Linked DNA regions of Notamacropus eugenii. The protein of the gene in region 2 purifies or fractionates together with the protein of the main gene of each other region. This does not show direct contact. Links are inferred from orthologs where the notes say so. Each region holds a gene or a part of one and is shown on either strand. Other genes may lie near its edges. The genes, in order: ERLIN2, CANX, BSG and LRRC59.

Evidence for each region.
Region 1: the proteins of CANX (region 2) and ERLIN2 purify together in Homo sapiens (affinity purification with mass spectrometry; 4 studies listed by BioGRID and IntAct, with this or other methods). This does not show direct contact. The link is inferred for Notamacropus eugenii from reciprocal best matches to the Homo sapiens genes CANX and ERLIN2.
Region 3: the proteins of CANX (region 2) and BSG purify together in Homo sapiens (affinity purification with mass spectrometry; 3 studies listed by BioGRID and IntAct, with this or other methods). This does not show direct contact. The link is inferred for Notamacropus eugenii from reciprocal best matches to the Homo sapiens genes CANX and BSG.
Region 4: the proteins of CANX (region 2) and LRRC59 purify together in Homo sapiens (affinity purification with mass spectrometry; 3 studies listed by BioGRID and IntAct, with this or other methods). This does not show direct contact. The link is inferred for Notamacropus eugenii from reciprocal best matches to the Homo sapiens genes CANX and LRRC59.

The regions. Positions count from the first base shown.
Region 1 is NC_092872.1:623,278,583-623,286,283, reverse strand, and holds the start of ERLIN2 (erlin-2), read left to right. Parts: upstream 1-4,694; 5' UTR 4,695-4,816; intron 4,817-6,071; exon of another isoform or gene 6,072-7,701. UniProt on the Homo sapiens protein: Component of the ERLIN1/ERLIN2 complex which mediates the endoplasmic reticulum-associated degradation (ERAD) of inositol 1,4,5-trisphosphate receptors (IP3Rs) such as ITPR1.
Region 2 is NC_092872.1:416,716,758-416,724,719, reverse strand, and holds the start of CANX (calnexin), read left to right. Parts: upstream 1-4,947; 5' UTR 4,948-5,129; intron 5,130-7,962. UniProt on the Homo sapiens protein: Calcium-binding protein that interacts with newly synthesized monoglucosylated glycoproteins in the endoplasmic reticulum. It may act in assisting protein assembly and/or in the retention within the ER of unassembled protein subunits.
Region 3 is NC_092875.1:69,278,767-69,286,563, forward strand, and holds the start of BSG (basigin), read left to right. Parts: upstream 1-4,782; 5' UTR 4,783-4,899; coding exon 4,900-4,966; intron 4,967-7,797.
Region 4 is NC_092873.1:360,388,775-360,396,576, forward strand, and holds the start of LRRC59 (leucine-rich repeat-containing protein 59), read right to left. Parts: upstream 3,009-7,802; 5' UTR 2,618-3,008; coding exon 2,513-2,617; intron 1,091-2,512; coding exon 1,031-1,090; intron 1-1,030.

The DNA.
Region 1 (7,701 bases), about 210 Mb from region 2:
GACCTCTCACCCCCAAAGTGGCCAGATCGATGCCTCAAGGAAACTGCAGTTCCCACTTCTCAGCTCTGCCCCTACAAAGTTCTTCTCTTTACTGCCAAGCTCTAGGCCACCCAGGCTGGGTACGCCACCCCCACCCCCTGCCCCCATCACTCTTGGGCACATGGAGGAGGGGTGGCCCAGGGGAACAGGACAACAACACAAAAAGCCACACGAACCGCATATACCCATGGAGGTAGCTCTAAACGTTAGCGCCTGGGCAGGAGAAGGGGGTGGGGGTGGTGGAAAGGGATGAGGTTTTTCCAGCGCCATTCGAAACTGTCAGGCGAGTGATTAATGACCAACAGGTTTGGAATCGCCTTTATTGCCAGATCAGTATTGTTGCCCGTGACAGCTAATGAGGTTGGACAGGCTTCTCCACAGTGAGCTTTATGGGCCCCCGCTCCCTCCCCTGCAGAGCTCACGAGCCCTGCCAGCTTTTGTGCACAAGAATGCTGGAGCCCCCCAACCCCCAACTGACGACCCAAGGCCACCTCCCCAGCGCCACAGGCTGCAGTTGCCCAAGGCAGTGGCACCTGGGAACAAAGGCCCAGAGCAAAGGTCTCCTTGCCCTGGGCCACCTCACCCAACATGAAGGCATTGCCCCAGTCAGGGGCCAGGGAACTTGACTAGGAGGCCAGGCCTGGTGGGAGGGAGAGGGGACTGGGAGATGTATACAAAAACTGTGAGAAGAGCAAGACCGAAGGGAACCCCCTTTTCCTTGGATTTAAAAGCGACGAAAGGCTCCTGGACTCCTCTTCTGGCCAGTCTGACCGACTACAGGCAATCTGCCTTAATGAGCCCATTCCAAAGCGAACCAGTAAAAGTCAAAGAGGATTTTTATACACTCACCGCTTCAATCAAGCAGTTGGGGGCGGAGAGAGAGTGGAGAAAAGGGTAGGAAAGAGGGAAGGTAGTACTTCAGAATAAAGGGAGGTGGGAGGGAATTTAGGGAAGAGGAGGGGCTAATAAAAGTTAATATATAATAACAATAATAATCTTTTCCTTTAAAAAAATAAACAAAAACAAACCCCTCTGCCTTCAGCAGTGTTAAACCATGTCCAGAAGGTTTCTGTACAGAAACACAGTCTGGCTCCGGTGGAAAACTTTGCAAAGCACAGGCTTTGTTTTCCCGGCTCTAACAAATAATATTTACCTTTGTGCAGTTTCACATCTTTATATGGTTAAGCACGTGTTTGCCCGTGGTTTAATATTTGAAGGAACCAGAGCAACGTAATAAGCAAACGACTCAGAAAAGCCCCAGAAAAACCCCACTGCTTAAAAATCTATTACTTTTCAATGTGATATAAATGTATTTTGCTTCTGCTCAGAGCAATTTCCTAGTTTACTCTTATTAAACTGGGAGACGGCTTCCCGGCGTTCCTTGATTTATGAAACACATACTAGATTCATTAAAACCTTAAAAGATTTAATACATTTTATCAGGACATTAAATCTGTGCCGGCTTTTTAAATCAAATACCTGCCATATTTCATCTCCCACACCCTGCACACTTATTTAAGAACAGTAAAATGTGGCCTGACAAACATTATGGCTGTTTCGGGCCTGATTTTTTTAAGTGGCATGAAAGTCCTTCTCAGTTGGATTTACAACAAGGTCCCCTCCCTAAATCTGTCCTTCCAGAGAATAAGCGATTCCCTTCTTTGTGAGCCAATCCATTAGGATGAGTTCATGGTCCCCAAACTTTTTCTTTCAAACAGAGCAAAGAGGTATTTAGATCAACTCCTTCATTTTTCAGACAAGGAAACTGAGGTGGAGGAGGGTGCATGGTTTGCCTCAGGCCACACAGCTAATTACAGTCAGAGCCTCCACTCAAAACCAACTTTCCTGACTTTCAGCCCAATGTTCTTTATATTATACCATACTACACATCTTTCCATGAAATAGAAACAAAATCACCTAGCCCCAGCAGGAGATGAAATAAAAAGTCTTCTCTTTCTGAGGTTTCTAACAACTTTATTTCTGCAGACCCAAGCACCAGATTACAATGTATAAAGAATGAGTAAGAATTATGGTGGCTTTGAACCATGGCCTATTGTGGGCATTTCTGATTTAGCCACTTTATGATATGACTCTCAGGATTATAGGCTCTCAATCACAGATTTGGAGTTGGAAGGGACCTCAGTGGTCATCCAATCTAATCCCCTCTTTTTACAGATGAGAAACCAATTCCCATAAAGGTTAAGTGACCTGTATAAGGACATATAGTCAGTAAGCAGCAAAATCAGAATTTGAACTCAGATCCTCAGACTCTGAACCCGGCATTCTTTCTACTGTACCATGTTAAAATCTAGAAATCACTGAGCTTTCTGTGGTGGAATAAGAAGAGATATTTCACAATCACCACTCTCAACTTCCTAAACAAATGATCCTGTTTTCTGTGAAACTGCTCCTTCCAAGATTACCAACAACTGTCTTCCTTGCCTAAAGCCAGTGACCTTCTACCAGCCTTCATCAGGTGGTGAAATGAATAGAGCGCTGAGCCTGAAGTCAAGAAGACTCATCTTCCTGAGTTCAAATCTGACCTCAAACACTAGCTGTGTGACCCTGAGCAAGTCATTTAACCCTATTTGCTCAGTTTCTTCCTCTATAAATGAGCTGGAGAAGGAAATGGCAAACCACTCCAGCCTATTTGCCAAGAAAACCCTAAATTGGGCCATGAAGAGTTGTGTCCAACTTGACAACAACAAAAAAATTCTTCTTCTCTTCAGCTCTTAGGCTTTGTAGGATACCCTCCTTTAATTTTGTAGAACTGCTATTTCCTCCTACTTGTCTTACTGCTTCTTCTCAGTCTTCTCTGCCTGATCATGGGTCTCTGATTTCTACCCCCAGGATAAATGGGAGTTTCCCCTATGACTGACCTAAGTTCCTTCCTCATTCCTTCTAGGCACCCTCTTTCTAGGCATCCACAGGCATAGCATTTATTTCCATTTTTCTTCTCCTCTCCAATTTTGTATCTTGGACCTAACAAAATACTTACAAAAACCGAAGATGTAAGACCCTTCTTTCCCTTTGCAGACACTTTGCCACAACTGAGAATGAAGGAAGTGATGGGACACTGTTCTCCTCAGACTACACCTGGCATGCTGCATTGAGTTCTGAACTCATAAGGACGCAGTAGAAAGGAAACTGTCAGGCTAAAGAACCAGAGAAAGGGAGCTGAACAGAGAACAGACGGATGGGAAGATGTCACATGGGAATCTGTTCAAGTAACTGAGGATGCTGAGCCTAGAGAATATTTAGGGGAGGCATTATATCTATACAACTGTCATGTGGAAGAGAGATTAAACCAGTTTTGCTAGGCTCCAGGGGAAAGAACTAGGCATAATGAGTAGATAGATGATAGATAAATAGATAGATAGATGGATGGAGATAGCAGACATAGATACATGGGTAAACAATAAATACATAGAGTATTTATTAAATGCTAAGCATAGAGATATAAATAAGAGCATGCTAGACAGTCTCTGCCCTCAAGGGTCTTCCATTCTAATGGGGAATGAAATCTATAAAAGAGATCTGCACAAGGACAGAGTGTAGAAGGGGAATACATTTGTCATGGAGGTATCTGGGAATGCCATAAAGACCTAGAATTGAGCAAAACGAGGCCAATGTTGACCAAAAGCCAAAGAAGGTTCCAAGGGGAAAGAGCCCAGTTTTCCAGCAAGAAAAGAGTGGAAATGATGGCCAGAGTGAAGACTTGCAATGGCCAGAGATAACTGCAGAGAGGCAGACTTAAACTCCACAGAAGGAACAGCCCCTTCTTAATCATTAGAGCGGTCCAATGGTACAAGAAGCTACCCTGATGCCCATCATTGGAGATCTTTAAGTGGAGGCTAGAAGATCATTTGTTGAAAACAGCAGGATATGGCGCAAAGTGCACTAAACTAGAAGTAAGGAAAGACCTACACTTGAAATCCATCTCTGACACTAGCTAAGTGACCCTTGGCAAGTCACTTGTTTCTGTCTGCCTCAGTTCCCTGAACAGTAAATGAGGATAATAGTAGCACCTCCTTCCCAAGGTTGTGAAGCTTGAATGACTTCATGTTGTGAAGCCTTAGCACTTAGCACAGTGACCGCACATCATAGGCACTTAAGGCTCAGTCCTTTCCTTTCTACTTTCCCATCTATCCTTGGCCACTCTTGACTCTTCCTAACACCAAGGCCAACCTCTATGTGTTGTGTCCTACCACCTCAGTCATCTCTGGAGAGAAGAAAGCTGAGTCTCGGAGAAGTGACGTGACCCGTCTAAGCTCTGGCCAGGCCTCGCCCGCCCCCCTTCCAGACCCTCTTTCTCTCTAACACGAAAGGGTCCCGTGATTTCCCTCTTAAAGACATGAGCCCAGCTTCCCTGTCTGTGAAATGGGGAGACTTGATCCCTGCATCCTGGGCCAGGGCAGGAGGGCAAGACCGACATCCTCCTCCTTCCCCCTCACCCCCATCTTCACGACTTTCTATTCCCCCGTCTGCCCACCCCACAGGACTCCATCCATCCATTCGCTGCCCAGGCCCTCCCGGGGGTCGGTGGGACCGAGGGATGGGCGCCCCCTTGTGGCCGATCGGGCCGGGTGAACGCGGCCGGCTGCAGAGGCGCGGTGGGGGCGGGGCAGGGAAGGAAGGCTCAGGGAGAGAGGGAGACACAGGAATTCTGCCCCCCGCGCCTCCTGATGACGTGTCACGGCGGCGACGGACCCGGAAGGAGGAAACGTGCTGTGCTGAGCGGAGTGGCAGCGGCTCCCCGGGGAGGGAGCTCGGACAGGTACTGAGCGCCAGGAGGGACAGCCTTAGACGCCGCCCCGTCCCGCTCCCCCAACTCTCTCCCCTCCTGGGGCCTCCCCCGCCCCCCGCCCCCCCGCTCGGGCTCCCACCCTCCGGGGCGGGGGTCTGCAAGCCCACCGCCTTCTCCCGACTCCTGCCACCTCTGGGCCTCAGTTTCCTCGTCTGTCCGCGGAGGGGGAGGGGGGCCGGACTCAAGGATCCCCAAAGCCCCTTCCGCGCCTGACCCTCGGTCACTCGCTGCCCCAGGGCGCCGTCTGCCCCCCGACGTTGCTTGGCCCGCCCCGCCCTGGACGGACGTGAGGCCCGAGGACCACGCCAACGACCTGGGCAGCTTTGGTGTTGTGAGGGATAAGGCCCAGCCTCGGACTGACCGTCAGAAGCCGCCCATTTCCGAGATGACCAAGCTGAGGCCCGGGGAGGTGCCGTGGCCCAGAGGCGGTCCGGAGCAGCGGACTGGGCGCCAAAGCGGGGTGATAGCGAGCGCCCCCTCCCAGGGCTGTGGTGAGGGTAGCTAGAGGGCAGCCGAATGGCCCGGTGGGCAGAGTGCCCGGCCTGGGGGCAGGAAGACTCCCCAGCCGGGGACCCCGGGGCAAGCCCGTAACCCTGCTTTCCTCTTCAGTAAAGTGAGAAGGGGAAGGAAATGGCAAGCGCTTCAGGATCTTTGCTAAGAAAACCCGCCCTGGGGCCACGGAGGAGCCGGACACGACTGAAGAAGCGGCTCAAAGTCAGCTAGGCAAAAATGCCAGCTAGTGTAGCGTTCTTTGCCAGCTTTAAAGCGCTGTGTTAGTGCTAGGGAAGGAGGAGTGCACTGCAAGTCTTAGAGCGCTGTATAAATAAATGCTAGCTAGTGCAAAGTTCTTCACCACATCAAAGCACCATTTAAATGCTACCTAATGTTAAACTGAAGAGCCAACGTTCAAACCTGCATCTGCTGGCTCCAAATCCAGAATACTTTACACCTCAACCACATGCCTCCTGGACCCCAAAGTGGGACTTGATCAAGCCCCACCTTATCCATAGCACTCTTTGACCTCTCTGTTGCACCAGCTTTTGATCCAGTCTGGTGGCATATAGGGACTGTTGAATCCAGAGACCTCAATCTTGGCTTTTTTGCAAGTGTAAGCTAATGCTTTGAGGATACCTGCTATCTATTTCTTTTCCCATTCTCCTGCCCACCTTCTGTTGAAGGAGAAGAAGGTAAAATTCGCTGATAGGGATTCAACTAACCAGCTACTGACTAATATTTCCAAACTGTATTCCTTCAGCCCTTACCAGTATAGTTACAGCGACTTTGTTTACCAAATGAAAAATCATTACACATGGTTGGACAAAAGGTATTTTTTTCTTCAAGGCCTCTTTCCTGATTGGAAAACTGAACAGAAGTGGAAAATCTAAGAAGTGGCTGCCACAGCAGTAGTATGTGCACCCTCTCAAAAAGAACTTATTTTGTTCCAACAGTCCCATGACATGAAAAATGGTCTTGGCAGTAAATCTTGGGTGCTAAGGGCCCATAAGAGTTAAAAGTTGACCCTTATTATTCAAAGGTCATTGCCAAAAAAATAAATGCAGTAATAACTTCTCTAAAGCTTTCTGATGTCTAAGCTCAGCTGGATATTCATGGCCAGACTCTAGACTTCTGAGCCCTTTTTGCTTGTCTCAACAGATATCCTTGGGGAATAATCAGCTATAAAGTGTTATTCAAGTACCGTGTATAAGGCAGTGCTGTGTGTTCAGTCGTTTTCCCAAGTGACAAGTCCCTACCCTACTAAGGGCCAAATGAATAATGGGGGAAAGGAGAGAGGAGGAGGCACTCTAGAAAATCCTGCCCTGGAACCCTGCTGTGCGTATACTGTCTATCACCCTAGCATGTGAAAAGAGTAAATAACAGTTTCCTTTGAAATACCCTGCAGTTAGCATTGGGTGGCTCTGGCTGGAATTACATAGCCATAGTCTCCTGTTCGTTTGACATCCTGTATAATTTGGTCAGTCAGCACTTGCAGCTGGCCTGTTCCCCCTTGACAAATATATGTCCCTTCAGACTGTGCCATTGGAAGATCAGTTAGTTGAGAGCCTGAGGGTGTTTAGCCAAAGGAGAAATGTAGGAAGGACAGGATCACAGTTTTCCAGTTTTTCAAGGACTGTCAATAGGAATTGGGATTATACTTATTTTGCTTGGTCCCAGAAAGCACAACTGGATACCTTGGGCAGAAGCTGCGGGACAGCAAGTTTCAGCTCAATACAAGAAACAGCTTTCTGACAATTATAACTATGCCAAAAGTGGGATGGGCTACTTTGGGAAGGAGAGCCTTCTCAATCACTACAAGCCTTCAAATGGAGCCTGAATGATGACTTGTTATTGTGGTAGGAGAAGTGATGCCTCTAAAAATCCTCTCTAACTCATGAGATCCTAGGTTGTTTAGTGTCTCCAGGGCTCTCAAGAAGAGAAAGATGAATCTGAATTCTATCCTATGCTCTCCCTTGGATTATAGGACTTTTTAGGAGATAGAAATGTTGTTCAAGAGTTTTCCTTCTACTGATCCTTAAGGGACAATCTTTGGGGCCACGTAAGACAAGATCCTGGGTAAAGAGCAACAGAATTAGAGGCAGTCTAATACCCATAAAGACTCTGGAGAGGTTTTGTAGTAAGATGGTTAGTTGTTATCCTTCGTTCTTGAAGAGGACCAAAATGACATCACCATGATAAAGTGAAGTTTCAACGTGTACAACTGGCTGATCACACCGATATGAGCTCAGAGTGCCCTACCACAGATTGAGCACAGATAGTCCACATGAACATTTGCGGTGGTTGCTCCAAATTTGCACATCCTGCGTTTCCTTTGTGCCATTTCAGTTCTGCTTTGCTCA
Region 2 (7,962 bases):
TCATGTCAGACAAGTTACTTATGTGTCCAAGGGGAAAAATAAAAATGGGAACCAAGTCTCCTGGATCAATAAAACCAAACCTCTGTGTCCCTTGATTATACAGCATGACACCTTTAGTGAACTTTAACAGACATACTCCATGCTCCAAATGTATGACCTTGAAACTTAGATGTAGTTAGGGAGAATAGCAGGCTCCCCAGCTGCCTTTCTTGACCTTCTGTACCCAGCACAGTCAGACTAATGGAATAAATAACTACCAACACTGGGTATCATTCTTGGTTGTTTTTTGTTTTGGGGGGTTTTTTTGCTCATCTTGGGAAGAAGAATCTTTCCTTACCCCAAGGCTCAGTTAGGTGGGATACTGAATGAGGTAGAAAGGAATGGGAAATCAGTTTTGTTTATTGACTCCAAAACATGAAGAAGAATTCTTTCCTGAAACTGTTGGCCAAGGCCAAGACATTTATAAAGGCTCCTATGCCTGCCTGCTTTCAGCAAATATCCCATTTTTCTCCCAATATATTTTTATTTTGTTAAACATTTCCCAATTACATGTAAATAAATTTTTAACATTTATTTTTAAAATTTTTGAGTTCAAAATTCTTCCTTTCTCTCCTTCTTGAGAAGGCAAGCAATTTGATATATGTTATACATATGAAGTCAAGAAAAACACATTTCCATGTTAGTCATGTTGCAAAAAAAGAAAAAGACCAAAAAATCCAAACAAACAAAAAATCAAATTCTAAGAAAATTAAAGTAAAAAATTATGCTTCAATCTACATTCAGACTCCATCAGTTCTCTCTCTGGAGGTGAATAGCATTTTTCATCATAAGTCCTTTGTAATTATCTGGGATCATTACACTGATCTGAATAACCAAGTTATTCACAATCATGCTTTTATTATGTACAATGATCTCCTGCTCAATTTTTGGATCAGTTCATATAAGCCTTTCCATATTTTTCTGAAACTATCTTGCTCATCATTTTTTATAGTGCAATAGCATTTCATCACAATCATATACCCCGCTTTGTTCAGCTGATTCCTAGTTGATGGGCATTACTTTGATTTCCAATTCTTTGCCACCACAAAAAGAGCTGCTATAAATATTTTTGTACTGTTTGTACCGTAAAATTTAAAACTGATTTTAATTATATTTTAAAGAATCTATTTAAAGAATCCTGTAATTACTCAGAATTCAATTCTGTTCTGAATTAAATCTTCACCCTTGTATTGTCTACCTTTGTAACCTCATCCACTACTCACTTAAGTTCAGGGGTGTATGAGGTGTTTCAGGAGGACCAGCCTCAATGGTGTGAGGGCTTGCTGAGCCCTTTTCAGAGCTACTCCACCAACTTTCGTGTCCACCTTTCACCTTTTACTTAGCTATCACGTAGGGCTCCAAGAAGCTGTAGAATCCACAAAGGGCCACCCACTACCAAATTGGGCAGATGGGCCAATCCAGTTTGTGGGTAACCCAAGGGCCTCAAACCTGTGGGTGAATGATAGGGATGCCTACCCTAAGCATGTAAACTCTTCCTTGGCAAAATAGGCAGATGAGAACAATTTGTTCAGCCATGAAGGCAGCTGAAGCAGTCCCTTAAAGTGAAGAACTCAGATCTTGGTTAGACATTGAAGATTCCAAAGTAATCCACTACATCTCCACCACCGCCAGTCTTCCTGATTTTTATCTAGCCACTGGCCTATGATGACTCAGGAGGAGAGGGTGAGGTTGATGACTTTGTGCAACTCTATCTCATTTAAATCAAATTCACCCAAGATTCAAGTTATTGGTCCTCTTAAAAAGCAAAAGGAAAACAATTCAGATTCAAGTTGATTCAAGTCTGTAGGCTAACCCTTTCAAGTTAGGATTGCTTTTATCTCCCCAAAAGGAAGAAATGAGAAGGAACTGAGGTGATTCAACCCACCTCCTCTTTAGAAGATAATACACTTAGAGCACCGGAAATTTTTCTCTGTCATCTTGTCAATTGTTATAAAAGACCCTGTTAGCCCTCACTCAGGGTCTTTGGTCATTGAGAGAGGCCATTGACCCAATTTATTGGGTACTGCTTGCCTAACTACTAAATGTATCATGTTTGGGATCTTGTTTCTCAGTTTATCTTGATTTCAATCATAACAGTACATATAAGTTCTTTTCTTTTTTCTTTGATCTCTTTGGGATACAGACCTAAAAATGATATTCCTGGGCCAAAGAGTATATAGGCCTTTGGGAGTAGTTTCAAATTGCTCTCCAGAATGGTTGCATCCCTTCACAACTCTACCAACAGTTCATTAGTGTCCCAATTTTCCCACTTCGCCTCCAACATTTGTCATGCTCCCCTTCTGTCATATTAGGCAATCTGATAGGTGTGAAGTGGTACCTCAGAGTTGTATCAATTTGCATTTCTCAAATCAATAGTGATTTAGAGCATTTTTTCATGACTATGGATAGCTTTGATTTCTTCTTCTGAAGACTTCCTGTTCATACCCTTTGACCGTCTATCAAATGAGAATGACTTATATTCTTATAAATTTGATCTAGTTCTCTATATATTTGAAAAATAAGACCTTTGTCAGAGAAACTTGCTGTAAAATTTTTCTTCAATTTCCTGCTTCCCTAGGTATCCCAGTCTTAATTAAGGAGGTGAAAGGTTATTTGTATTTGGGAACCCTTCTCAAGTTTCCTTTGGCTGTACTATCTGTCCCAGATATACATGCTGATAGGCAAGTACTATAGGTTGTCCAGCCAAATTTATGTTGTAATCTGGGTAAAAGGTGCTCTTCTTCCACTTGGCCTTTCTGGTATAAATAGTCCAGTCAGACTTCTTTGACTGATTATTGGGCTGCCTATTGGAGTTCTGCCTCTAATAGATTCTGGTCATGTGACCAGACAAGTTTACGTCTCAGTGTCTTTGATAACTCTAAGACAAGCAGTTACAGAGGAGTTTCCTCAATGAAAGCATTTTTCACAGGAGAGCTCCCCAAAATGATGAAAAAAAAATCTGTTTTCTCCTTCGCACACTGAACATACACAGTTCCTTCAGCTGATCATGTCCAATTCCCTCCTCCATCCGAACTGCCAGACTTCTTGTTTCAGCTTGTTCACGGGGTTCCTAAAATACAGCATCCAGAACTGGACACGGTACCAGTGCAAGCGCTGCCAGCTCCCTCCCTCCGGACACCAGACTTCTCTTGGTGCGGGCCAAGGTTGCACTCCTTTGGCTGCTATGTCATACTGTGGATTTAGCCACATGACAGGGCTGCGCATGAGGGAAATAGCTTAGAAGAGTACACAAGTGTGCAGAGTGGGCTGGGGAGAAATTGGAGACAGAGAATTTAGAGGGCTACTGAATCAGCCAAGAAGAAGAGCCTGAAATGGGGAGGTGGCGGAAAGGGGGACTCAATGGAGACGGGGTAGGAGAGAGGGGTCAAAGGTAACACCATGGTTTTAATCCTGGCTAACAGAGGGGAAGGCTCTGCCCTTGACAGAAAATGCCAAAAGGGTCAGTTTTGGCAAAAAAGTGACAAGTTCCAATTTAGACGTGTTAAATTTGGGGTACGGTAGGGCATCCTGTAGGCATTTGGAAGTGCACCCATTTAATAAGGGTGCCCCAAGGGAAAGACAGAGAAATTGGGAAACATGCCCTTTCCAACTCCATCAAGCACAGGCCTCAGGCAACAGGGGCAGTTGTTTCCCAAAGCGGAGAAGAACGTCTGGTGAGCCAGCCCAGAGAGCGGATGGACGCAGGAGAGGAAGGGGGTGCTGGTGTCATAACACAGACCAATAAGGAAACGTATCCCGGCCTTGAATGTTTAACTTAAACTGCTATCCCGGCCGGGGCTCACAACACTGACCCTGAATGAAAGAACAAGATCCCTCTTCAAGCTCCGGGTTCAAAAAGCCCCAAAGTCACAGGAGGCTGAGGGGCCTGCGGTCGTGGGGGCGGGGAAATCAAGCCCGAAAGGCTGGAGAGATCTCCGGGGCCTGGGAAGCGTGACGTCCGGGTGTTTAGACACATTCACCCAGTCCGTTACTTCTTCGGTACTTCTACGGCCAGCAAGGCTTCACAGACAAGGCGGCACCGGCCGTTACCCACGCGGGACGGTCTGCTTAATGCGCTAACTCGGAAAACCACCCGACTGCGCGCAGATCACTGCATCGCTGTCAAGTCTTTGGCCTGCCTGGCCCGGCTGCCCATGTGTACACTGGGAATGCGAATCCCATTCATTATCTGTGCCAGCCCTTTCAAAAGGAGGCGAGCTGGGAAGCCTGGGTGCTCCTAGGCCAGTGCCTCTCCAGCCTGTCTACGGGGGGGAAAGTGGGAAGAAAGTGTCGGGTCGCAAAGCCCTCACAGGAAAGCAACGAACGAGCCGGGCTGGCTAGAGTAAAGCGGGCGGCAGGCCCGGGAGGGTGCCCAGCGGGTGTTTATCTCTAGCTCCGGGCCAGGTCGCCCCTCCCTGACCCAGGAATCTGCACGCCCCGGCTCTCTCCGCCCCGAGCCAATCATGAAGGCGGGCGCACGCGCGCGCGCGGGAAACCGAAGGGGGAGTCAAGGAAGAGAGGGGGAGAGCTAAAATCCTGGGTCATTTGCACTAGCGCCACGCGGAGACCAGGGCTACCGACCCTCTTCTAATCTCCCAATCCCAGGCTTCCACAGGAGGCGGACGGGTGGAGTCCAGTGCTACAATCCAAAGGCCGTCACCGCCCAGTCTGGTCTATTCCTGGCCCACAGTCAGTCGGGAGGGCCTTCCCTCCTTGCTCTTGCTCCCTTCCCCCACCAGCTGTCTTCCATCCAATCAGCAGGCACTTCCTGCCCTCCCTTTTAGCCAATCCGCATCCTCCACGAAGAGTAGCCCTAGGGGGCGTGTGGAAAGGTATCTGGAGCGATGGTCAAACAGACCAATGGAGTGCTAGCACGATGGGAGAGAGGCAGGGTTGAGATGCAGCATTGACCAATCAGAAACTAGGGGTGGGGCCTGGGCAGGGCGCCGCGCGCGTTGGGGTTCGCTCGGCGTCCTCCTAGTCCTGAGGCACGTGACGTTCGCTTCGGGACGATCCGCTGCAGCATCCGAGGTGCTGGGCGTGGGGCGAGGGGGTGGGAAGTGGCGCCGGCGCCGGCCGCGAAGCACGAGGTGAGACGGACGCAGCTGCCCTAGTCCTGGGGACTTGGGCGGCCGGGGTCTGGGAGGTCGGTTCACGTCCGGGGCGGAGGAGGGCTGGCCTAGGCTGGCCAGGCTTGAGTGGTGGGGGAAGAGGCCTGAGGCCCTGGGGACCAGAGGACTGGTGGGAGTGACGCGGTCTGGGGCTGGGGACCGGGACTGCCCAGCGGAAAAGCAGGATGGAGCCCGGAGCCGGGCCCGTGCGAAGATTTGTGGGAGTGGAGAGGCCTGCGGAGGGAGGCCGGACGGGAGGTCAGCGGGGCCGGAGCCCGGAGGGGGGCGTGACCTCCGGGCCGGGCTCGCCGCAGCGGGCGGCGGCCCAGGCGCCTCGGAGGCCCGCGTGCCCCTTGTCTGTTCGCTCATCCCCAGGCGGGCGATGTGCGGCCTGGCCCAGCCCGAGTGGGAAGGCCTCTGGGGAGAGACAGGCCTGGGGCGGCGCGGGGGAGAGAGAAGCCATCTTCCTGCGTTTAGGCAAGAGCCCGGGAACGTACCGGACGAAGAAGGCAGACCCTCCCGGCCACGAGGTGGCTGAGATGTTGAGAAACCAACGATCTCGAAACGGGGGCAGGGTGGGAAAGGGGACCTCGCTCAGGGGGTAGGTAACTTGTTGGGAAAGAAACTGCTGGAAGACAGGTCGAAAAACTTGTTCCTAAGTGTTAGGAACGTGGACGTCTGTCTATATATAGTTCTTCATTTGTCTTTAGAGAGTCATAAGTATTCCAAAGAGTTTTGGGAATCTTATCTCTGGAAAGATAACCTTTCCAGGGCCGATCTCCTTGTTTTAGTGGCCCAGAGAAGGGAAGCAACTTGCCCAAGGTCACACAGCCAGGTGATTGGCAAAGCTGTATGGAACCTCATTCTTCTAGTACTTTCTTTGGTGGTCTTAAGCCCATACCATTTTCTAGGTCCCTTAAGCTCTGATACAGTACTAGAAGTAATATTTTCTCTGTTTCAGGCATTATATTCTCACTTTTAAATTCTGTCTTCCACGTGGGTGCTCCCCATGAGACTTTTCTGTCCTTCGACAAGCACTCTCTTGGCTATACCACTATCCAAGTTTCTAACCCTGTGCAGATAATTCCTCAATTTATAGTTCCAGACACATCTCCAAATGCCTAAGGAATATCTTCATTGGACATCCTACAGAGACCTAGACCTCAACATGTCCAAAAGCACATTAATTATATTTTTATCAAAACAGATTCCTGAGTACTGGTTTGTATCACCACTCTCTACCTAGTTTGCCCTGAGGGCAGCGGTCCTTTTGCACTGGCAGGTGTTTAACAAATGTTCGCTGAATTGATTAAAATTTTTGGAGTCAATCAGTGTGACTAGATCTTCTGGAATCCATCCATTCTTGAACTCTTAACCAGCCCTTTTCAATCTTTCATTCCAATGCCAAAATAACCTTTGAAAATGGATCTGGTCATGCCACACTTACAAACAAAAGATCTTTTTAAGTGGCTCTCTCCTGCCTACTGAGTAAACTTCAACAACTATTCCTGGTATCCAAGGCTCCAAGCCTGGAATCACCCCATCTACCTTTCCAAACATTATTCTTTAACATGTTCTGATCCAGCCAAACTGGACAACCTTGTGTTCCTGAGCGCAAATAGCACACTCAACTTTATGCCTTTGTTGAAGTTGACCCTCTTTTTCCCTAGTCATCTTGTGAAATCCTACCCAGCTTTTAAATCCCAATTTAAATGTTAACTTCATCCCAAATGCCTTCTTTGATAATAATCACATTCTCCTCAGACCTCACTGGCATTTTGCTTTCTAATTCTTCAAGGTTCTTATATGGTATTGTGTTGCAAATTCATATTGATGTTGTATTTCTCTAGATTTTTAGAGGATAGGCAGTATACCTTCTATATGTTTTATAACATCACATAACCATTGCTCTGTATTGGTAGGTGCTTAATAAATGTTTGGGGATGGGAACAAGCATTTATTGAGCACCTGCTATGTGTCAGGCACTGCACTAAACATTTTACACATATCTAGTTGAGATGTTGGGGAGAAGGCAGGGAAATTTAGCTGTTTACCATAAGCAAAGGCATTTATGCTGATGAAGAAAAATAAACTTGGAGTTGGTGGTAAATCTCACCATTGCCACTAAGGGACAATTTGGAAGGCAGTACTGACATGTGTCTACAATATGGGAGAGGAAAGAAATATGCTGGAAGGGAAACTCCAAATTACTTTTAATTTTGAATTAGATTTTTGTGTGGTTTTGAATATTGCTTTGGAATCGAGCTTTGTTGAATATTTTTTTAATGGGGTACTATTGTGATGATCTGTTACCAAATATAAAGTGGATCTTTCTTGAGCCATGGAGGCAGCTTTTCTTTTGATTCTTTCGCTCTAGTCCGGGCTTAAGAGTAATTGTCAATTTCATGGTAATTCTCACTTTGTGCAACCTAATGTAGTAGGTGAATGAATTATAAAGAAGCTTTGGTTAAAAAAAAAAAATCTTAAAACTGAAATTAAAGTGACATGTATTGGCACTACAGGTATATGTAGTAAGTTAAATTTGAGACTAGACAGGACTTTTTTCTGTTAAGATATTGGGGGATCTGAGTATTCTTTTCTGATTTTACTAATACACAAGTTGTATCTATTGTAAGTGCCTTTATCACAGTAAACGCAGATCCTTGGTATCAATATGGAGAGCAGACTTTTGTTTTTGATAACTAGCATTAAACTGCTGAATGATAATCTTACAAAGCCCACTGAGTTAAGTGGTTCTAGAAGAAAAATCCTTGCTGCTACTTTGTTACATAATATTAGGCTGTGCATTTGC
Region 3 (7,797 bases), on a different chromosome or scaffold from region 2:
TCTACATTAAAGAAATCACAAATTTGAACCAAAAAAAATTAAATAAACAAGAGTTATAATCTCTGCCAATTACTCCTATCAAGACAGTTGTGAAGGGAGCCTTCTGTTAACTCCAAAGTGCATGAAACATGAAAGTCCCAGCAGTCCCTCCCATTCCTCTAACGATGTCCATACATTCCCCTTACTTCTCTTTGCTGTTTCCATTTCCTGTGTAAGCTCTGAGGATCCTTATCCCAATTCCCCCTCTCACTGAAAGGTTTCCCCAAAACATGGCTACCTGTTCCTCCTCAGGGCTCTAGGGGTATCCAATTCCAAATCCTCTGACATTCTGAAGTTCCCCAGCTCCTTCCTTGGTGAGGGAGGAGGGAGAGAAGGAGAGAAGAAAGACTACTTTTCTTCCCCACCCCTACTAGTTTCTCCAAGTAATTCTTTCTCTGAGGTAACTATTCTCTTTTCTAATCTGTCAGGCACTTGAATACTAGGTTCTTAATTGGCTTGTTATTTTTATAGAAAACCCAAAGAACCTGACCAAGTTTCTTCAGTACGTCACAACACATTTCATGTTCCATCTAGCTGAACTGCATCGATAAATTGATTGATCGAATGGTTCGTATTTTTGGTTGATTTGATTGAGAAATCTGGTGAGCTCTCACCCTAGTATGTATACTAGGCCATCAGAGGAAACAATTAGCTCTAAATGAAACTGTTGTTTTGAATCCGTCTCTTACAGAGGCTATAGAAACTGTTACTGCCTTTTTAAGAGCATAAGAAGTTAAATGGAACTCTGACAGTATGGTTTTTTGCGGGAGGGGGGGGGGAGGGGGGGGCGGGGACCATGGATTGAAAAAGTCAATTCAGATGTGAAGTACCTCTCCTTAGAGTCAGGAAGAAAGTGCTGAGTGTTTGGTTTGGTTTGGTTTGTGTGTGCAATCCATATGGATCTATGAAATATCAGCTGAGAGAGGTCTGACTGTGTATTTTTTTTCCCTATGGAGTTAGGGAGGTAGTGGGTGTTTCATCGGTGATCCACAACGATCTAGAAAGGAAGGAGGAAGGGAATTAGCATTTACTTAGTGCCTACTATATCTCATCTGATACTCACTGCCACCCTAGGAGGTAAATGCTAATAAAATTATCCTCACTTTACAGTTGAAGAAATTGAGGCAGACAAAAGTTAAGGCTAGAAAGAGATGTTGGGGCCAGGCTGTGAAAGGCTTTATAAACTAACTAAACAGGGAAGTTTACATTTTATCCTAGGGGCAATAGGAAGCCACTGGAATTGATTGAGTAGGAGAGTCACAAGGTCAGATCTGCCCATCTGGAAAATTACTTTAGCAGCAGTTCAGGGGACGGACTGAAATGGAGAAAAACCTGAGTCAGGGAGACCAATTCCGAGGCTGTCATAATAATCTAGGTTGAAGGGGATGAGTGCATGATGTAAGGTAACAGCCTGGCACTGACTGAATATGTGGGGTGAGGGAGAGGGAGGTGTCCGGCATGATGCTGAGGTCACCCACTTGGGAGACTAGAAGGACATCTGTGTTTTTGACAGAAATAGGGAAGTTTAGAAGAGGGGGGAGGGTTTCAGGGAGAGATAATGAGTTCAGTTTTGGACACATTGGGTCAGAAAAGTCTCCTGAATATTCAGTTTGCAGCTGGAGATGCTGAACTGGAGAAGTCAAAGGAAAAAACTCATATCAGGACAGTATGTGAGTCATCTCTGTAGAGGTGATAGTTAAACCCATGGGAGTTGATGAGTTACCAAGAGAAAAATTACAAAGGGAAGAAAGAAGAGCCTGTGATGGAACCCTGGGGAACCCCAATCATTGAGAAGCTTGATCTGAATAAAGATTCAGCATAGGAGCCTGAGAAGGTTGGCCAAACAGGTAGGAGGAGAACCAGGAAGACATAATGTAATGAAAACTTAGGTGAGAGTAATCAGGAGAGGGTAGTCTACGGTGTCAAATGAGTAAGGAGGATGATAGGTGATGAGAAAACTCCATTAGATTTGGCAAATATGAAATTATTAGTGAAGTCAGAAAGGAGAGTCTCAGTTAAGTGATGAGGTATGAAATCAAACTCCCAAGGGTTGAGGAAGGGAGAAGAGGTAGTGTAGACACATCTTTCTAGAGTTTGGCTGAAAAAGTGAGGAGAGATGTAGCTGGTAGCTTGAGAATATGGTAAGGTCTAGTGAGAATTTTTTAAGGATGGCAGAAATTTGAATACATTTGAAGACAGTAAGGAAGAAATAAACAGATAGGAAAAGGTTAAAAATTTGAGAGGGGGGGAGAAGGACTGAAAATGCATCCTGCTGGAGAAGACAGGAGGGGACAGGGTCAAGTGCATATTTAGAGGGGTTGACCTTGTCAAGGAGAAAGACTACCTCTTTGTCTATTTCATTAAATAACAAACAGGGCAGCTAAGTGGTGCAGTGGATAAAGCAGGAGTCAGGAGGACCTGAGTTCAAATCTCACCTCAGATACTTGACATTCACTAGCTGTATGACCTTGGGCAAGTCACTTAACCCCAAATTGCCTCATCCTGGGTCATCTCCAGTCATCCTGATGAATATCTGGTCACTGAATTCAAATGATTCTGGAGGAGAAGTGAGACTGGTGACTTGCACAGCCCTCCCTCACTCAAAACAAAGTCAAGTGCAAATCATGTCATTATTTCTCCGATGGCATGGTCTTCTTCTGCAACAAAGGATAAATGCAAATAACAAACATTTTAGTTATTTAATTTTTTATTTAACTTATTTAATTTCATTTCAGAAACATAGGAGATGATGTCAACAGGTTTTGAGAGGAAGAGAATGGGAGAAGAGAGAACTCATGTTAAATGGCCTTAATTTTCTCAATAAATTAAGAGGCCAGAGTCTTAGTTTTGAGGTTGAAGAGCAGAAGGAGATCTGGGAGGATTGAGGAAGGAGGAGATTGGTTCTGTCGTTAATGAGAGAGGGAATCAATTAGAGAGGAATGAAAAGATTGCCTTGTTTCAGAGAAGGCTCTGTTGAGATTGCAGGACATGAATTAATATTGTGCCCTGTCAGCACAGTTTTGAGACTTCTTGCAATTCATTTAGCAGCTTTGGAAGAAGAAAGGAAAGAGAAGGAGAAGGAAGAGAAGGAAGAGAAGGAAGAAGGGGAGGAAAGAAGATGAGGTTTGGCAAGGGAGGACCAGGAACAGAACTAGGAGATGAAGGATATTCAGATCCTGCCTCAGACACTTACTAGCTGTGTGATCCTGGGCAAGTCACCTAATCCTGACTGCCTCAAAAAAAAACCAACCCTAAAACAGAGAACTGTGTAGAGGTGAAATGTCTAATTGTTAAGTTGAGAATGGAGAAGGAGAAAAGTATTCATGATGGAGGATATAGAAGTCTTGATGAAGTTCAAGAACAGTTGAAGCAGAGGGAGATAGGAAGAAAGGGGGATTCATGAACAGTCAAGCAAAGGAGAGAAGATTTATTAGCAGGGTAACCATGAGGAAACACACAACCTCTCTGGGTCTCAGTTTCTTCATCTTTTTGTTAACTCTACTCAGTTTCCAAGCACTTGTTCTACTCATGATTGCCTGTGTAAAAAGCAGTGGCTTGTTTCATTTTTTAAGTTATTTGATTTAGTTTCAGAAACAGTGGTATGACTGACAACATCTGTAAACAGAGGGACAAAATGATCATCTTGCAGATTTTTCTCTGGAGAAAAAGAAAGTCCGTTAGCTTTGCTTTGTCTAGCAAAAGATTTCCTCTAGGCTGATGTTGCACCTGAAGAGCACACAGGTGACCCTGGACTTGCCTTGCTGATGCCAGGCTAAAAGAGGAGAGAACAGATGCCAATTCAGTTCGAGCCAACAATCATTAAGGGCTCCCTGTGGATCATCTTGGATATATGAGGGTTGTGTATGTGTTCCTCCTTCGCTTTCGAAGACCATGACATCAGGGAAATGATGACTTGACTTGCACTTGACTTTGTTTTGAGCGAGGGAGGGTGGATCCATGAGGGACTCGCTAGCTCAATGAACCTATGAGCTCTGCCACGCAGGGATACCCAGGACGGAGAGGTCATAGCGGAGAGTTTTGGCAATGGCAATCCACTCCTGTAGCTTTTCCAAGAAAACCCCAAGGAGAGGACCAGACAGGGGTGCTGTGGTCCACGCTGTCACGACTGAACAACAAACGGAAAGACAGGACGCCGAGCTGCGTGTAAACAAAGACTGAGCCATGGGTGAGTGTGGTGCAGAGATAGGGCAGGATTTGGAGACGAGAGTCCTGGGTTCGAATGCTGACCTTGCCACTCACTAGCTCTCTGACCTTGGGCTACTCATTCACCCACGCCACGCCTCAGTTCCTTCGTTTGCAAAATAAGGGACTTGAGCTAGATGACCTCTAAATTCTTCTTTAGATCTCTGATTCAGAGGTGAGATCTGAAGGGCTTTAGAAACGAAAGGAAGGTGAAATAAGTGGAGGGTAGCTCAGTTTACTTTGCGGGAGGCCCTAAGCGTGCACAAGCTCACATCTTCTGACCTACAAAGAGCACTCCTCCCGGCCCCGCCCGTGGGCGGGCCCTTCGTCACTTCCCTCTCTCCCTTTCCCACAGGCCCCGCCCAGTCTTCGGAGTCGCGGGCCTACTGGAAGGTGATTGGTTGTTAGAGGCCCGCGGGGAGGGGGAATGCAGGGGTGGGGACGGGGCTACGGGCGCGAGCCCGACGGCGTTCGCGTACCCGGGCTGCGCCTCTCCTTTTCTTCCGTCACCGCGTTGTGCGCGTGCGCTCCCGAGCCTCTCTTCCGCGGGCTCTTATAGCGGCGGCCGGAGCCCTACGCGGATCCAGTGACCGAGCGAGCTACCGAGCCAAGGCGCGGGTCGGCCGCTCGAAGACTTCGGGACCGCGACGCCGCGACATGGGGGCCCCGCTGCTGTGGCTGCTGGCGGCAGTGCTGCTGTGCGCTCGGGCCGCCTCCGGAACCGGTGAGTGGGGCTGGGGCCGCTGGAGGCCCCCGCGGCCCGGGCCCGGGGACCGTTGGGGGTGAGGGGACCCAGGGTGTGCCCGGGGTGGAGGGGTGAGCCATGCGGGCTGAGGAAATGAGGCTCTGGGGGCCCCGCGGGAGGGACACAGGCTGGAGGATTGAAGTTCAAAGGATTGGGGGGGTCGCGGGTTAGGGGCCTCTGAGGTTCAAGGGGTCCCGACGGGAGAGGGGTGCAGACTGGGGGCCTGGGGTCCAAGGGGTCCTGGAGGGGGAGGGGTGCAGACTGGGGGCCTGGGGTCCAAGGGGTCCTGGAGGGGGAGGGGTGCAGACTGGGGGCCTGGAGTTATAGGAGTCCTGGAGGGGGAGGGGTGCAGACTGGGGGCCTGGGGTCCAAGGGGTCCTGGAGGGGGAGGGGTGCAGACTGGGGGCCTGGGGTTCAAGGGGTCCTGGAGGGGGAGGGGTGCAGACTGGGGGCCTGGGGTTCAAAGGGTCCCGGGAAGGGTAGTAGAGGAGCGCAAAAACTAGAGACTTGAGACCCCGAACGCTCGGGAGTGAAGGGCCCCCAACTTGGGGACAGGTAGGGGGAGATGAAGCCTCAAGGTTGAAACGCTGGAGGGGACCTGGTGGGGGAGCTATGACTGAGAAGAGTTGGGGTCCTGGGGGGTCAGGAGGGGGCCTTGTATGGGGGAGGCATGTGAGGCGGGAAGGGTCAGGGACCTCGGGGGGAGCAGCCTCGTGGGGGTCTCGGAGGGGAGAAGGGAAGGATTCTGCCTGGCGCCTGGCTGGTGGGGGTGGAGATGGAAATGAAGTGTGACCCTGTGTCTAGAGGAATGGGGGCGGGGCTTTGGGCCTGCGGAGATGGGGCCTCCCCCGGGTGGGGGACTTTGGGGTTTAGGTAAGGTTGGGGAAACTGTGTTTGAGGACCGAGGCTCCAGGCTCTTAGGGAAGGATGTCTGACTCACAGCCCGTTTAGCAACTCGAGTCTCTGTCACTCCAGGGCTCTTTATATTTTCAACCCCCACAAATGGGGTCTGTTTGTACTCAATTTAGGCCAGAGCTATCTAGCCTTCATGTGACATAGGGTGGGAAATGTTTATGTAAAGGAAGATATCTTTTCCTCCTCTGTTTAGTTCTGGATTAAAGCAATTACAGGCAATAAAAATTTTAGCTACAACGGTTTTGTGGGCTTGATGTTCTGAATTCTGGTGAGAAATTCAGCTTGACTGCCATTTACTGGGGGAAGAGTTTTGCGAAAGGTGAAATAGACTTCATTGTAAGGAATTTTTCCCCCTCTGAAAAGACATAATTTATTTTGTTATGAATGATGGCTAATAATAGGATATATGTGTTGTGCACCCACATGGAAGAGAGAGAAGATTTGGAGTACAGCTATGACCCTTGAGGGTTTTTTCATGAAGTCCTTTTTGGACAACAACTATAAACTGCAAGTATTACTGTCCCTATTTTACAGATGAAGAAAATGTTCCCAAGATGGGGAGCAGTTTGCTCAAGGTCATAGCTAGTAAATGTTGGAACTGGAAAATTTCTGCCTTCCATTTAAATGTTCTTACCATAACACTATACTGAAATTTCTGTATCTCTAGCTATTTTCATTTTAATATTCTCATTATTACTGTGTTTCTGATTTTTTCCCCACTCTGCTCCTTTTCTCTTTTTCATAATTAAAAACTATTTCAATGCTCCCTGCACTAGACACTTGTGAAGAAAGACGAGATCAACAAAAACGTTGAACCTTTATTCCCCTTTATATTGTAGCCCTGGGAAGAAAGAAAAGCTAGAAGAAAAGAAAAAATAGAAGTTTTGCTCTTGTACTGAATTAATTCACTTTTAACTTGTCTTTAGGTCATGCTATTTTTGCCACATGGGTTTGTCTTCAATTAAATTTTATTTTTTCATTTATCAAGCATTTATTCTCCCCTCCCCCATTTCTTCAAGAAAAAGTTTTTATAACCTTGTAACAAGTGAACATAGTCAAGTGAAACAAATTATCCATACTGTCCAGATTTTAAAAATGTGTCTTATTCTGCATATTAGTCCGTCCCATCTCTCTGTCAGGAGGTGGGTAACATTCTTCATGATTGGTTCTCTGGAGTCATGGTAAATCACTGTCTTGAATAGAGTTCTTAAATCTTTCAAAATTGTCTCATGTATAATAATGATGTTATATAGTATAAATTGTTCTCCTAGTTCTTCCCACTTCACTCTACATCACTTCATATGAGTCTTTGAAGGTTTTTCCAAAACTATCTCTTCATTTCTTACAGCCCAGCAGTGTGCCATTATGTGAACATAATAATTTATTCAGCCATTCCCCAGTTGGTGGCCACTCCTGAATTTCCAGCTTTTTGCCACTACCAAAAACTGCTGTAAATATTTCCTATTTCTTTAGTTTCTTTAAATGACTCATTTTGTGCCATAGACAAGTTTGGTTGCATACTCAGGAAAAAGCAAAATAATTATTATTCCATTAGGATATTTTTCTCCCTGTGATTTGGTTCATCTGCTTTCTATTCTTCTCCTCACCTAAGGGAAAATTGACATTTAGTCCACTTAATTTGGGGGGAGAGAGGAAGGAGAGCTGTTCTCTTGCTGTAGTCAGATTGCTTGAATCAGTTTGATTTTTCTTGTAGTAGTTGAGATACCAAAGAAGAAGATTTCTTGACCCAGATTATACATCTTGGCTTTGTTTGTTCGTTTCTTGCCCTAATCTTGGAATGTAGCCAACTCCTAGTTTTCTTTAGGTGAATTATCTGCCTTATCTACAAAGAACTATAGAGTAAAAACCTAGAGGGGATCTTAGATGTCATTTTT
Region 4 (7,802 bases), on a different chromosome or scaffold from region 2:
TCATGACTTCATACCCCTTCTGCTTCTCTTGGTTTCTCACCCAGTTCCCAAGAATGGCTTTGACTCATGGCTTCTGCTGGATCTGCCCAGAAGAGGAACTAGTTATCTGTTCCCATTCTCAAATTAGCAGCTTTGATGACCTAAGTTATCTCAACAGACACCCTCTGCTGGCCCTACCACCCCTACTCTTCCACCATCAGTCTCTACTGCCAGGGATAAATACATGAACACTGAGCTCCTCTGAGATTTCATACCTACTACACATATAGGTGTACATACACTCCACACTAGCAAAATAACTCTACTCTCCTTTCCCTAAACATGGCCTAAAACTTCTTGCTTTTTATGCATGTGCTGTTTACTCTTACTTGAAGTATCATTTCCTCTACCTTCGACCTGGCCACCATGCAAGACCTAACGCAAATTCTACCTCCTCAAACGTTTTACTGGTGGAAATGATATTAAAGAGCCATTACCATCTGCTTTGCTACTGCACCCTAAGGACCACGGACTTTTTCATTCAATTAGCAGTTAAAACCTTCCATGTGTCTTCCCCATCAGAATGTGAGCTTCTTTAGAGTAGAAGTTTGATTATTCTGTCTGTATCCCAGCCATAACACAGTGCTTTACATGCTTTATTCATTCAGTCCACATCACCCAAACCAGAAGTAATTTCTCCTTTCTCTAAGCTTCTATAGCACTATACAGTTTTCTGATTATGCTTGATTATTTTCTTGATTAATTTGTGTCATCTTATTTCCCCTACTAGACTTTAATTTCCATGAAGATAGAAATGTATTTCATTGTATCCCCCACAGCATATACCATAGGGTCTTACACATTATAAAAATTCAGTAAAATAATTTTAAATTAAGACTGTCCTTATTGATCGCTCCTCCTAATAACAACTACTAGCCTCCATATATTTGATTAGAGCCATTGGCTCTCCTACGGATTCATGCTCATGGCATGTCCCCCAGCCTGGAGCAAGGACATCCCCCCAGGTACTTGGAGGAGAACCACATCTTACCGGTAACGAAGTAAGTTTGTTGCAGGAGAGATCCAGTACTGTGGCCTTTGGAAGAGCAGCCTAGGAAAAGAGCAGAGGAGAAAGGTAAAATCCATATTTGGTCAGAGGTTATTATACTTGGTGACATCTGTTTGCTAATGGAATATCTTCTAAAGTAGAGGAGTCGGAATAGATTAAAAAGCACAAAACAAGAATGAAATGATGACAGGGTTCAAAAAATAGAGCAAAAACTGAGGCCAGCCATCAGTTACTTATGAAAGTATAGAAAGAACAAAGTGTGGCCACAGGGCATGTAGCAAAGGAAAATTTGGATACTAGAATAGTACTTAGGGCTTCAGAGCAATACTAGATCCATCTTAAAAAGTCTTCAGAACCACCCCTTCTGACTAGAGCAGGGTTGCTTTATTTTTGTTTTTTTGGTTTTTTTTTTTAACTTTTTTTGGCCCACACCTTTGGCGATCAGATGAAGCCTATGGACCATTTCTCAGAATAAAGTTGTTTTTTTCTGTTTTCCAAAATTCAAAATGGAAGGAAACACTAAATTTCCATGAAAGGTTAGTGAATATATTTTTTCCATCCAAGTTTATGACCCCCCCCCCCAAATATATCTAACTGCCATTAAGAATTCCTGTCCAATATGCCTTGCTAAACACAGGAAACCCAACTCCATTTGGTTTTGAGTTGAAAGAATTTGAGAATAAGACCAGAGATAAGACAGGAACCAAAAAACTGCAGCTGGAAGGGACTCTGGGGGCATCATTTATTTAGTCTTGATCCACTCAGTCTACAGATGAGGAAAATGACGTCCAGAAATGGAAAGTGACTTGCCCAAGATCATAATGTTAACAAGTGGTAGGGCCAAGAGTTGAACCCCGGTGTTTTAGGTCGAATACTCCTTCCCCAATGTGTGCATCCTAACCTTTGGGCACGCCACTGCCCCTCTTGGGGTTTCAAACTCCTCCTCTGTAAAAATGAATAGCCTGATCCCCAAGGTCTCTGGCTGTCCTAACATTCTAGGGTTCAATCCACTTTCCACATGTTCGAGACGGACCCACCAGTTCAGCCCAACTTTTCCAGCACAAGCAATGGCTCTGGGCGACTTCGAGCAGCTGGGATTGCAGAATTCCCAATTGTCACCAATCCTCAGCCACACCCAGGTCTCCAGGAAGGCCTACTCCTCCAGGCCTAAGAAAGAGACAGCAGGCGCCCCGCTTCTCTTACGCCTCGGATCGGCTGAACCTGAGGTCAGCGCCGGACACTATCTTCGCGTCTCGGCCCCTCATTTCACAGAGAAGGAAACTGAGGCCCGGGGGTGGGGGAAGGGGCATCGCCTAAGACGCCGGGATGGGCCTGGAAGCGGGGCCTCCGCGGCCCCGGCTAGTAGCGGGGCTCCATTCCCCCCCAGAATGACACGTGTCCAGTCCAGGGCCCCGGTTCCCAGACCCTGCTCCCCCTCGGGCCCAGGACGGCGCCCACACTGACCAGCTCCTTGACCGGCACCTCGGTGAGGTCGCCCAGGCTCAGGTCCAGCTCGTTGCCGTCCAGCTTGTCGCGCAGGCTGGCCCCCTTGCCTCCGCTCTTGGCCATGGCTCCGGGAGATGTGGGGAGTGGAGGGGGGCGCGCGAGGGCTCGGCAGGGGGAGGGGGCGGCTTCCGGCGGCGGGCACGCGCCCGGGCACTCCGCAAGGTTCCGCGCGACGGCCGTTTAACGGCCAGGGATCCGTTTGGCGATAACAGCCTCAGAAGCCTGAGGCCCGGACCCCCGCCACGTTCCTGCCCTTCCGACCTCCTCGTACCCGCGGGCCTGGCGCTGCCCCCGCTACCCTCCGTCCAGGATTCCGCGGCCAGTTGCGGTACTCCGCGATCCAGTTCCCGCCTCCGTCACTGCGGCCGCCAGCCACTTCCGTGTCCACGTCTTCCCTCCGGGAGACACCGAGGCGCCTCGGGTGGAGGGGGGCTAGAGAGGCTAGCGCATGCGCGAGTGAGCGCGATGCCGCCCCCTAGTGCTGCGGAGGCTCCCGCGGTGCGCGTGGAAAAACAGTCTGCGCTCTAAGCAAGAGGGTTGGAGGTTGTGCACGCGAACGTATTAGACCCTGAACCGTGTAGTCAATGAGTCAGCATTTATTAAGCGCCTTCTGTGTGCCAGGCACTGTAGTAGGCACTGGGGATAAAAGTACAAAAATGGAACTGTCCCTGTTCTCCAGGTATTTCAGGAAAGAGACTGTATAACGTCTACAGATACAGATAGAAATCCACATGCACACACATACACAATACATACGTGAATATACACGTACACAGATCCACTATTTGTATACATAGCTTCACACCATATACACAGTATTTAACTCTGCATGTACACAATTTACATCAGATCCACTGTATAGACTGTATATATCCATACACACACATATGTATGTGTCACAGGTAACATACAGGAGGCACTGGAGGTCTTTGGAATCCAGCTTCTAACAGGTTTACTCTGGATCTGGTCAGACAGGCAGACAGCTTCAGAGGGGTTACTAATCAGCTTTATCCTAGTCTAGTCTTCTCCTAAAGGTTGATGATAATGGGAGAACCAGCTCCTGCAGCATTCCCCAATCACCCTTCTCCAAGAGGTCTGCAAGAAGAGGGGGCAACTAGCCCTACCTCTCCATGGCATAAATTGAGAAAGGCACAGTTTGTGCATTCCTCTAAATCTCCTCAAACTTCAATGGGAGCTGGTTGAGGAAGGTATTCCTACCTCATTCCTCTATGCATTACCAGTGGTTCGGCCCCCCCCCCCCCCCACTCACTGATCAGTGCCCAGTTGCTTTATACGGCAACAAAGAAGGCATCTTGCCAGCATTAAGCTCACAGGTTAACCAGCAATATCGTCATTCTGCGCAAGCATAGTAAATATTATATTATGTCACTCCTTACCCCACCGCACAGCCTCGGTGGGACTGTCACTGTGATTCTGGGAATGGCTATCTTAAATCATTGGAATTATTCTGGGAATTATTGTCAAACACCTGGAAACTAGACATTGCCATGCCCATGGATCCTGAGAAACTGAACTCTAAAAAAGATAACAAAATCCTTCTTACATACAATGTATGCATGTATATAGTAGATCTGAGGCATCATTGATTAGGCAACTTGATGATTCAGCATATAGATAGGCTTGGACTCAGAAAAATCTGATCTGAAGTTCAAATTTGACCTTTGATACTTACCAGCTGTGGGACCTTGGACAAGTCACTTAATCTCTGTCTCCTTCAGTTTGCTCTTCTACAAAATGGGAATAATAATAGCACCTACACCCCCCCCCAGGGTGTTTGTGAGGATTAAATGATAAAATATTTGTAAAGCATCCCAGCACAGAATATACTAAATAAATGCTTATTCCCTTCCCATTCCCCTCCTCTAAAATGAAATATTTGTAGAGCACTTTGCAAACCTTCAAATGCCATATAAATGTAAGCTATTATTAATTATTGTTGTTGGAAACTCTCTACTAATACTGATCCTCACCTTTTTATGGGGTGGCTCAGAGAACTAAGAGGTTAGGTGACTTGTCTAGGGTCACACAGAAAGTGTCCAATGGATCTCTTGGACCCAGTTTCTTCAGTCAGATCTTTATCCACTTGACAGCACCTTGTGAGATGCATACACAATCCAAATCATCGCTCTTTGAAACGTTTTTCTCTGATTCAAAAGATACCATTCTCATTTTGTTTCACACAGATGAATAAATAATCACCACCACCTCTGAAGGTTGTGTAATATGATTATTCCTGTTTTAGAAATGAGCAAACTGCCCTGCCCTGCTTCTTCCAAATTTCCCTATTTCTGACGAAGGCACCATCAGTCTTCCAATGTGCCAAGTTCAAAACCCCTATGTCATCTAGCTGCTGCTGTTGTAAGGAATTCTGCAAGGCTGAATCATGAACAAAATCAGAGACTATCTGGAAGGTGGAGGTGAGGAGGAAGTAGTTCTGGTCACGCAGGTCAGCTGGTGCCAAGGCAACAGAGATTAAAGATGGAGTGGCCAGTGTGAGGAAGAGCAAAAAGGTAAGTTTATCTGGAGAACAGAAGTCATGGACAAGAGACTGAAAAGATAGGCCCAGCTTGCAAAGGGTCAAACAGAATAGCATGCATGTTATTGTAAAGACAATAGGAAGCCACTGGATTTCACCGAGGAGGGAGATAATATGATCAGATCCACACTTAAGAAAATCTCTTTTGGTTGCTAGGTGGAAAATATATTTGGAAGCATTACAGTGCCTATTCTGGCCCACTGCCTGAAGACCAAGTGTGCTACATTTCATCTTTCCCCCCAGGGTTCTCTGGTACCCTTAAGTAGTTTGGGAAGTGTCTGGTCTTTCTGCCATTGGCTCAATCCCCCACCAATGAGGTTTTCCCAATTTTAGGGGGTGTTTGGCACTCCAGTTCCATTTAATCAGTTAATAGTTGGATTTGCTTTTAGGAAGGAGTGTTTGCTTTAAAAATATAGCAAGAACAAACATGGAAAACATTCTCTTCCTCCTCCCTCTCCCCAATACCACCTCAATCTCTAAAGAGAAGAAGGGGAGGAGGTTCACAACTTAGCTCATTTCCTATATAGCAGAGTCCCACCAAATTCCAAGTTCAAAGCATCCCTTGGGCTCAAGTCCCAGTCACCTGGCTTCTTCAGGGCTTCTCTGCTAAGTTAGCAATAACATCTAGCTTGGAATCTTATCCTCCAGGATCACTGTGGCTCAAGTCCAGATCTGGAGACTCCACTTCTTGTACCTAGAACTGAAAAGAACAAATGAAACAGAATAAAGCCCTTCATGGGAAAAGGAGGGTGGTTCTTACCCCCACCCCGGCCCGCAGCTCCGTGCTGAGGATGTATAGCACCTCTCTGCCTTATACAGTGCCAGAAAGGGAAAAGAGAGAAGAAAAGAAGGAGGGAGGAAGGGGAAGGAGAGAAAGAGAGACAGATCAGGGGTAGGAAGGAGAGAGAGGGAGGGAGAAAATGGGGGAAAGAGACAGAGAAAGACAGAGGCAGAGAGAACACATCCTCTTCCTTTTAAAGATACAGCCTGTGGAAACACACTGTTCCCATCCATATAGTAGGGGAATTAATTATTTCTTCTCCCAGAAGCAGGTCCCTGGTATCTTTCATGTGGTGCCTCCTAGTTAGGTGATCTTGGACAACACAAAATAGTCTTATTGCAGAAGAGAGAGGCTTGAGGTGGGGAGACCAGATGTTGTTGTGTTTGTCCTTTGTTTTCAAAGAAGACCATACCATCAGAGAAATGATACCACCAGATGAACAAAGAGATATGCATTTTAGGTACATGGCTCCAGTGTGGATTCCTTTTTGCTTGATTATTTTTAGTTGTTACAAAGTACTCTCCTCCGACTCTTGTTTATTTTTTTTTCTCCTAGTTAGGGATTGGGGAGGGGAGGTTAAAAATATTAGTTAAAAAAATACTCATTGAAAAATTTTTTAATTACAAAAAAGAGAACAGAAAGAACTTCAGAAGGAAGCAAAGCCATATGGGACAGTTTTGAAAGCAGTAGTAGTAGTATAGTGGTGGTGGTGGTAGTAGTAGGAGTAGCGGTGGTGGTGGTAGGAGGAGTAGTTATAGTAGCTGCTAGCATTTATATTGTGCTTTCAAGTTTGCAAAATGCTTTACAACTATTATTTTAGCCTCACAACCACCCTGGGAGGTGGGTGCTATCATTACCTCCATTGCCTTCCATGAGAAAAAGGAAGCAGACAGCAGTCAAATGACTTGTTCAGGGTCACATGGCTAGTAAGTATCTGTGTTAAAACTGTATATTGTTCTGGTTCCCTGCACTCCCATATCCTTTCTAGTAAGGAAGTTTATGAGTAGTCAGTATAAAGCAGCAACAGCAGAAAGTAAGATTGCAAAGAGCAAACCAGAAGTCACGTATAAACAGTCCCCAAGATCAAAGGAGCATAATTTATAAATCATATCATCTATTAACCAAAAATCACATCCTGGTCATATGTTCTGAATCAAGCCTTTCCTGTCAGGATCTTTTGGTCCTGTGATATTAAATCTCAGAGAAGTTCCAGACATTCACAGTAAGACGAGCAAAACGCTAAATGGTGCTGGTAACTTTGTGTTGATGTGGATGTGTTAACTTTAATGTTTTACTGACAGCTCTGAGGTGATTTGAATATGTTAATGAACTAACCCCAAGGTGGCACTTATTAGAGTTCATCTGTTCTCCCCAAAACCCTGCAAACTGAGACCTCAAACTCTTGCCCCCAAACACTCATCCATCTCCATCAGATCATGCTGCCAACTCACATGCCCCCACCTCTAATCCATGGTTACATGCTTATCTGTGCCCCTCTACCTGCCCTTGCATTCTTATGCGGCCGGCCTTCCTTCATCACCCTGCCCCTGTCCCTAGACTATCTGCCTCCTATAACCCTTTCTCCAGCTGTCTCAGTACTTTCTGTACCTGTTTGTCCCTACATCTGCAACTTCTTCAAGTGCACCTGCAGCCTTTCTTGCAGCTGTTATCATAGTCATTCTTGGCAAGTACCCCAAGAACAAAGTGTGCCTGCCCCATTTCGTAAGTTCATAAATTAATTATCAATTCACTATCCAAGGCTGGATTTCAGCCAAGCACGCTATTCATTGCCCCACCTTCCCTGTTAAAATCTTACTTTCTATAGGAAGTCTCCCCCAAACCCTATTACTTCCAGGGTCTTTCCTGTGTTCATTATCTCCTATTTATCCTGTATATGGTTTCCTTTGTAT